2 linked regions of the Macaca mulatta genome follow. The protein of the gene in region 1 binds, or shares a complex with, the protein of each later gene. Links are inferred from orthologs where the notes say so. Each region holds a gene or a part of one and is shown in the gene's direction. Other genes may lie near its edges.

Evidence for each region.
Region 2: the proteins of MPP1 (region 1) and GYPC are in contact, whole or in part, in an NMR structure (PDB 2EJY), measured with the Homo sapiens proteins. The link is inferred for Macaca mulatta from reciprocal best matches to the Homo sapiens genes MPP1 and GYPC. Residues at the interface, in NP_002427.1 of Homo sapiens: Pro81, Met82, Gly83, Ile84, Leu86, Lys87, Leu88, Leu100, Val130, Gln134; in NP_002092.1 of Homo sapiens: Arg123, Lys124, Glu125, Tyr126, Ile128.

The regions. Positions count from the first base shown.
Region 1 is NC_133426.1:161,084,058-161,088,038, reverse strand, and holds part of MPP1 (55 kDa erythrocyte membrane protein), read left to right. Parts: intron 1-3,335; coding exon 3,336-3,479; intron 3,480-3,751; coding exon 3,752-3,830; intron 3,831-3,981. UniProt on the Homo sapiens protein: Essential regulator of neutrophil polarity. Regulates neutrophil polarization by regulating AKT1 phosphorylation through a mechanism that is independent of PIK3CG activity.
Region 2 is NC_133417.1:10,656,545-10,661,050, reverse strand, and holds the start of GYPC (glycophorin-C), read left to right. Parts: upstream 1-1,438; 5' UTR 1,439-1,540; coding exon 1,541-1,589; intron 1,590-4,506. UniProt on the Homo sapiens protein: This protein is a minor sialoglycoprotein in human erythrocyte membranes. The blood group Gerbich antigens and receptors for Plasmodium falciparum merozoites are most likely located within the extracellular domain.

The DNA.
Region 1 (3,981 bases):
TTACTAATTTCTTTTATTAAAGTAACACAAGCACATAATACATAATTTGAAAGGTATAACTTGATACACAGTGAAAACAATTTCCTTCTCACCCCATCTTATAGCCACCCAGTTCCTCTCCCTAGAAGTAACCACTGTTTCTTATGTCTCCTTCCAGACATAGTTTATGTATTTTCATTTATTTTATTTTATTTATTTTATTTTTTGAGACAGGGTCTCACTCTGTCACCCGGGCTAGAGTGCAGTGGCATAATCACAGCTCACTGCAGCCTTGACCTCCTGGGCTCAAGCAATCCTTCCGCCTCAGCTTCCCGAGTAGCTAGGATTACAGGTGCACACCACCATGCCCAGCTAATTTTTTTATTTTTTGTAGAGACAAGGTTTTACTATGTTGCCTAGGCTTGTCTCAAACTCCTGGGCTCAAGTGATCCTCCCACCTCAGCCTCCCAAAGTGCTGGGATTACAGGTGTGAGCCACTGCGCCTGGCCAGTTTATGAATTTTTAAGCAAATATGAATATAATCATTCTTTCACTCTTTATGATGAAGCTAATATACCCTTCATCACATTATTATTATTTTTTGCTTAACAATAAATCTTCAAGATTACCCTCAGAACCTCCTTTTCATACCTGCATGGTGTATCCCAGGTATCATAAGTCAATTTTTTAATATAAGCCTATCTTAGACAATTTTGTTATAACAGCAATGCCATATGACTTGGTGTCATGTGAGTTTTTTTGAAGTTCTAGTTGCTAGACAAGGCAGTTTCTAGTTGCTAGACAAGGCAGTTTCTCTTTCTCAGTACTTCCCTCATTGAGGTCACCTGATAGTGAACATTACTTCAAACCTCACCATGTTGTGTTTTTTTTGTTTGTTTGTTTTTGTTTTTGTTTTTCTGAGACAGGGTCTTCCTCTGTTGCCCAGGTTGGAGTGTAGTGGTATGATCATGGCTCACTGCTGCCTTCAACTCCTGACCTCCTGCGTCAGCCTCCCGAGTAGCTGGGACCACAGGCTTGCACCACTACACTCGGCTAATTTTAAAATTTCTTATAGAGGCAGGAGTTTCACCATGTTGCCCAGGCTGGTCTCAAACTCCTGGGCTTAAGCGATCTCCCCACCTTGGCCTCCCAAAGTGCTGGGATTACAGGTGTTAACCACTGCACCTGGCCCAAACCTCACTATCTTATCAAAGTTTCTACTTAGAAATCAGAGTCCCTTAGAAATGATGTAAGCCTCTACTCCAGACTTCCTTGTCTCTCGTCTTCTAGTCCTTTTCTAGGCTTTGGGCAGGCCAGTGGACACTGCTCAGGTATACATGTATTCCCTTCTAGGGACCCTTCTCCTTCCCCACACAGTGAATGGCACACTCCTCACAGCTATCCTCTATTTTCAGCAGATCCTTCCATAAGCCCACTTCAGGCATATACCTCCTCCTCCTCCTCCTCCTCCTCCTCCTCCTCCTCCTCCAGGTGGCTATATTATTTTTGATTTAATATTTTATCTGGGGTGGGAAGGGAGCGTTTTCAGAGGTTTCCATAGTTTTTCCCCATTGTGATTGCTCTTACCCCAGGCCCTGGGCTTCTTAGACATTAACAGATCAGTAAGATGAGGAAAGACCAGCAAAGCAAACTGAGAAGGAGTGTTTTAAGGAGAAGAGAGCAATCACCTGTGAGTGATCCACAGGTGATCCACCATGTTGTGGTGTAGCAGTAGCCATTCATTCCCATTGATGTGGGATATCCACTGGATATGCCACAGTTTATCCATTCTACTGTTGATGGACTTTTGGGGTATTTTCAGGTTTGGGCTTTTAAGAATAGTGTTGTTCTGGAAAGGGCACACCACTACTTTCTTGGAATTCCTGCCAAAAATGCAAAATCCCAATCTAATCTTTAAAAAAACATCAGATGATAAACCCAAACTGAGAGACATCTACAAAATAACAGGTGTGTACTCTGCAAGAATGTCAAGGTCATGAAAGAAGAAATTTTCCAAATTAAGGAAGAGTAAGGAAATGTGAAAAATGCATGATTGGATTCTGGTCCTAGATTGGATTCTGGGACCAAAAAGTCCTAGATTGGATTCTGTACTGGGGAAGAAATATATAGCTATAAAGGACATTCTTGAAAGGGTTGGCAAAATTTAAATATGAACTGAGGACCAGATGACAATATTGTGTCAATGTTAAATTTTCAGTTTTGAAAATGCTCATTCCTAACATGTAGAGACACTTATGGGTAAAGGAAAATAAAGTCTTCAGATTAAGCTCAAATGGTTCAAAATTGAATTTTATAACATTTTTAAAGGGTACTGGCTGCTCTTGGAATGGCGCCAAAAAGATGAAAGAATTTTATAGTAACACCCATATAGCCACACCTCCTAGATTCTACAATTAACATGTTGCTATGTTTGCTTTATCACATTTCTATCCAAAAACTGCCCATCTGTCAACCTTTTTTTCCTGGTATTTCAAATAATTTTCAGATATCAGAGCACTTTACCCCTGAAAGCTTCAGCATGCACGTCATTGGCTTGAGTTCACTGCAGAGTCACCTGACTATAAATGTGTGGCTCTGTTTTTGCACTTTCTGTTCTGTTACATTGGTCTTTTATCTTTCTTCTTACCACAGTGCCTTAAATCACTTTAGATTTATAATGAAGAGGTCTTGCTGCCTGGTAGAGTAACTCATTTAGCTTTGCTGTCTTTGAGATTAGGGGAAGGAGTCACAGTGGCAATGTATTATTGTCATCACCGTGGTTTGGGGCCCAGTCCTAAGCACCTAATTCTACAGGTAGAAGTTCTTTGTAGCCTAAGAGGTGATTCATGAGAAACTGATGTTAACCTGAATTACCTTTGCTGCTGTGTGACTGAGAGCATCAGGTTGTTCAAGGAAATACAGAGGAGAAGGGGACATGCCAGAAACCCTTGGAGCCTGAGGTGCTGCAGGATTCAGAATCTTTCTAATTTTGTTATATATTATGTAATCTCCCAAGTAGGATCCAGGGGAGCACCATGTAAATCAAGGCACATTAATATTTCTGCAGCAACCTAGATAAGCATGTCTGTTTTACTTATTTTTAGAGACAGGGTCTCGCTCTGTTGCCCTGGGACTATAGCTGGGACTATAGGTGCATACTACCACACTTGGCTAACATGTCTATTAAGTTGGAGAAATAAAGCTTACAAACAGCTTCATGTTAATTCAAATAAGAATGAGGCCAAACTTATGAAATAAGTTTTCAGAGCCTCTTGAATGTTAGAATTGCAGATTGTGGACTGACTGTGGGCCTTGCTCCTGATTTCATACATTGCTTTGTTGTTTTGACTTGACAGGCTGTATCGCATCCATTGAATACTGTGACCGAGGACATGTACACCAACGGGTCTCCTGCCCCAGGTAGCCCTGCCCAAGTCAAGGGACAGGAGGTGCGGAAAGTGCGACTCATACAGATTGAGAAGGTCACAGAGGAGCCCATGGTAATCCCTCGTCCTATTGTTGCCCACCAGTGACTCTTCTGGCCCAGTGAAGGAGGCTGCTCATGGAGTTAGGGAATTGGCCAACCCCAATATTGTCTTTTCATCCTCATCTCAAATTCCTCCTCAAAGCAGGCTTCATGCCTGTTCTAGCTGAGGACTATCCTGGGTATAAATAGAAAATGCTTTTCCTGCGAAATTGCCATAAGTTGTTTCTAAAGTAACCTCAGAAAGACCTTAAAATAAAGCTTATCATGCCATTATCTTTATTTCAGGGAATCACTCTGAAGCTGAATGAAAAACAGTCCTGTACAGTGGCCAGAATTCTTCACGGTGGCATGATCCATAGACAAGGTGCTCTGTGGGAGCTCTGGGTGGGGTTTTATTCAGGGATTAATAATTTACTCCCTGTTCAGTGGTGTGGGGCATGAAGCTTACAATCCTCCAAACTGGTAGCATTTTTGTGAGTGTGCCAAGAGACTTTTTGTGGCTTAATAACTGGCTC
Region 2 (4,506 bases), on another chromosome or scaffold:
ACATCTCCAGGGCTCAGCCTCTCATTGTATTCAATGAGATGACAGCCCCAAAGGCACCGCCCATACATTGTACAGACAACTGGCCTGGCTCTCTGGATTGTGCAGGACAGGCCTTAATGGCAGAAGGTAGGGGAGACGAGGGCGTCACGAAAGTGCTTGGGGAACTATAAAGTACATATGTTTATTGCGGCACTATTCACAATAGCAAAGACTTGGAACCAACCCAAATAACCATCAATGACAGACTGGATTAAGAAAAGGTGGCACATACACATCATGGAATACTATGCAGCCATAAAAAAGGATGAGTTCATGTCCTTTGTAGGGACATGGATGCAGCTGGAAACCATCATTCTCAGCAAACTAACACAAGAACAGAAAACCAAACACCGCATGTTCTCACTCACAGGTGGCAACTGAACAATGAGATCACTTGAACACAAGAAGCGGAACATCACACACCTGGGCCTGTGGTGGGGTGGCGGGAGGGGGAGGGATAGCATTAGGAGATATACCTAATGTAAACGACGAGTTAATGGGTGCAGCACACCAACATGGCACATGTATGTATATGTAACAAACCTGCACGTTGTGCACATGTACCCTAGAACTTAAAGTACAATTAAAAAAAAAAAAAAAGAAAAGCAGCACAGGACGGTTCAGATATCACACAGGAGAAGCACAGGGTGTTCCCCTGGGCGGGGATTTAAAACAAGGGCCTCAAGTTCCCTGCCCTTGTCTCTGGGCAGAAGGGGCAGATAATGCTATGATACACTTTTTTGTAGGTGGTGCCAGTTGACTGCATTTAACCAACCAAGATATGTAACGAAATCCTTGTGGAGGTTTTCATGGCAAAAGTAGAGCGAATTCACAAACTGCACTGTGTCTGGCAGCTTCAGACAAAAGCAATGGGAACAAATCACAACCCTTGTCCAGCAATTCTTCCTGTTTTGGAACGATCTTTGCTCAACACCCCATCCATGGGTACAGGGCCCCCAAAGGCCAAGAAGACAGGGACTCTCTCCAGGGACAAATGCCCCGTGGCTAGCTCAGAGAGGCCGCCCAGCTATCCAGCGGCCGCGCAGCCAGCCAAGATTTCAACACAGGTCTGCCCTATTTGGTCACCATTCCCGACAGTGCTGGGCCAGGCCAGCAAGTCACATTGGCAAGTTCTCCCTGCACTCCAGGGGGAATTCTCAACCACAACCTCTGTATCCGGTAGTGGCAGATGGAAAGAGAAACGGTTAGAAAAGCGTGGTTCTTGCGCAGGAAAGTTGGAGCAAAGAAGAGTTCAGAAGTGGGCGGGTGTGTGTTCAAAAAAAAAAAAAAAAAAAAAAGGGTGGAAACCCTACCAGCCAAGTCTGCAGAAAAAAAATGAAGTCTGCCTATCTCCGGGCCAGAGCCCCTCCCCTCGGCCCGCGCGGGAGGAGTGTGACCCAGGTGCCGCTTCCTCTCGCCGTTGAGGGTCAGTAGCCCGGGAGCGCGACCCTCCCCCGGCCCGGCCCGGTCCGGCCCTTCCCCGCGGTCTCTGCCCGGGCTGATGCCCAGGACGAGCAGCCCCAACGGCACGGCGCGGCCACTCAGCCTCGGTGAGTACCCGCCGTGGGGAGGGGTCCTGGGGACCCACTGGAGGCCGCGGCCCGCAGCAGCCAGGGGCCGAGCCGCGGTCACGGACTCCCGGGTGTCCTGGTCCTTGCCCGGCCTCCAGGCGGAGGAGGCGCCCGCTGGGCTCAGATCCCCGACTCCAGCCCCGGTTCCCCGGCGCCTGGGCTGCGCGGAGTCCCTGTCCCGCGTCCCGGACGGCGACGCGCAGCCTCCACGCGCCCCGAGCTGGAGAGGCCGCCAGCCCGCCCGCCCAGGGCGTGTCGCCCGCTCTCTGTTTCTTTGTGCGGGGCATGGGAAATGTGTGGGGCCAGCACTGTCCCCCTAAAGAACAGTTAGGGAAGAGTCCACATCACAAGTTGCGTCTGTGCTGCTCCCTAGCCAGGGGCCGACCGGGCAGGCTCTGGTGAACTCCAGGCAACTCCAGCCTTGCCCAGGGACTTGCTCGCTCCTCTGGGCGCTGCAAAGGCACACAGATGCGGGGAAATCCTGCGGCCTGGATCCTTTGGGGATTTGTAATTCCTCGCTGTTTGTTTTCTTTCTCTTTTAAACCATTACGTTTTCTTGCTGACAGGAAATCATATGCGATGAAAGTCTTTGTAGGTGGTTGGAAACATTGCTGGGCCTCTCTCTGCGCTCTTCCTCTGCTGTTACTTTTGCAATAATAACTACCATTTTATTGTACCTAAAAACCTAATGCATATCCCTCTTATCCCCCACCCTGCCTGGGTCTTATTCTTAGAGTCTGTCAGAGAGGAGATAGCCTGAGCCTATCATGTGATAATGTTACCTTATTGATATGATGATGATATGGGTATTGGAGACACCAACTCAAAGTCTTTGAAATCCAGGGGGTTGTGAGGCCTCAACCCCACCCTGCCCGAGCCTGGAGCTTGGCATGGAGGAGCGTAGCTTCGGTCTACGTGTGTACACGGCACTCCGTGTGCCCGTGGTTGTGCTTGGGTCGGCCTGGGAGTGCGCGGGCATAAATGGTACTTGAGAGCGAGGCCCCTCAGTCTGCACTGGGATCACTGCACTGCCTCTAAACAAGGCAGCCTCTCTTAGCTCCAGTTTCCTCATCTGCAAAGTAGGAATAATAACAGGAGATTCCTCATCCAGCAGTAAGAAGTCCGTATCAATGTCCCGGCACGGAGACTGACACATCATAAGTGCTGGATCCGTGCTGGGCATGTTTATATCATTGTCCATGAGACTGTGGTTCCCGGAGTTTACGTGTGTGTGTAACTTGAGCACGTGTTTGTGTGTGTGTATATGGCGGGTCCTGGGTTAAAGGGACAGAAGCCACTGTCATTATTCCAATTCAGGCACTGAGGAGGTGAGGCTGATAGGCATTCCCATGTCTGAAGAGGATGGGCTTGCCTGACCTCCGCCCCCGTGCCCAGCCCAGCCCAGCCGCCCAAGCAGTTCTCCAGGACTCAGATTTCAGACCTTCAACACTTGCCTTGGGAGACAAACAGCTGCGCAGCCCTTGCTTGCAAGCCATTCCGCTTTAGACTTCGGACTGATTTATGGCAGGATCCCTGCTGTGCGAGAACGGCAGGGGGTGGGGGGGGCGGAAGGGGGGCGGCTATTTCTTGCTGCTAACTCAGGCAGGATGTGTCTATATCCTGTCTCAGTTTATGTAGCCGCTGCTCATCAGAGCCAGAGGTTAGAGTGGAGAGGACCCACTTCCGCCAGGCAGGCCTGCTTTGCTCAGCTCAGCTGGGCTAGGTCCCAATGCCACATTTACTGCGCGGGAGTCATGCACAGCGATCCGTGGCCTTGCCCTTGGATGGAAGAGGTCAAGGCTCAGTGAGAAGATGGTCAGGTTTGGCAGCTTTATATAGAATACACCGCCTCTGGCAGAAGCAGAGGATTGCATTAAGTGCCAAATGAAATTCCACCTCAGCCATTGCTCAGTTCCTCCAGATGTCACGGGCACTGGGAGTCGCAGGGCGCTGGTGGTCAGCAGCTGGACCTTTCCAAGGGTGCCAGTGGTTGGGCAAGTATTTCTGGGGACTTGCAGAGCTCCCTGGGGAGCAAAGGGGTGGGAAGTACAAGGCATTCTGCGCTTGTGGTGGGAACAAGTGAACTCGTCTGCAATGAGTAGGAAGAGGTCCCCTCCCTCCACAGGGGTGAGAGGTTGGGCCAAGCCAAGTCAGTTTGCCTCTTCGGGTGGCAGACCTGTATATACATCTATGCCTCAAGTGCCTGTGAGGCCACAGCCAAAACATCTTCCAGTAACTGAGCACACACAGTGGGCCAACAGCACGCTCTAAACACAAAACCAAACAGTAAAGTTAACAGTGAATGAAGGGTTAAAAATAGGAAAAAGACACCTTTCTCCCTACCTCAATGGCAATTACTGTATTTATTGAGGATAATCCTTCTAGAAGTAAATTTGCTGATACAAATATTTCTTATTTGACATAATAAAAACTTATTTTATATATTTAATGTCATCTTGCTTTTTCCCTCAGAATATCTCTGAAAGGTTATACCTTGTTTTTTTCTTTAACCAGTTCCTCTGCTGATGGGCATTTAGGCTGTATGCAGACTTCATTTAATTTTTTAAACCACATACAGTACTCCTGTGACAATGCGTAAGGAGGATTTTACGTGCTTGTGTCTGTAAACTGTTGGGATAAATTCTCCCACCTCAGCATTTGATTTCTGGGACAAAGTATATATCCATTTAAAATATTAGTCGATCTTAAGAAACTACCCTCCTAAAGTTCACACTGGTTTCTCATGCTCACAAATAGCCTGTGAAAGTCACTATTTCACTATTTCCCTGCATCCTCACTCACACTGCACTTTTTTATCTTAGCCAAACTGAGGGGTTAAAAAAAAAAATGCTGTCACTTTGGAATGAGCCTCTGTAATTAAGTGAGACGGAGCATG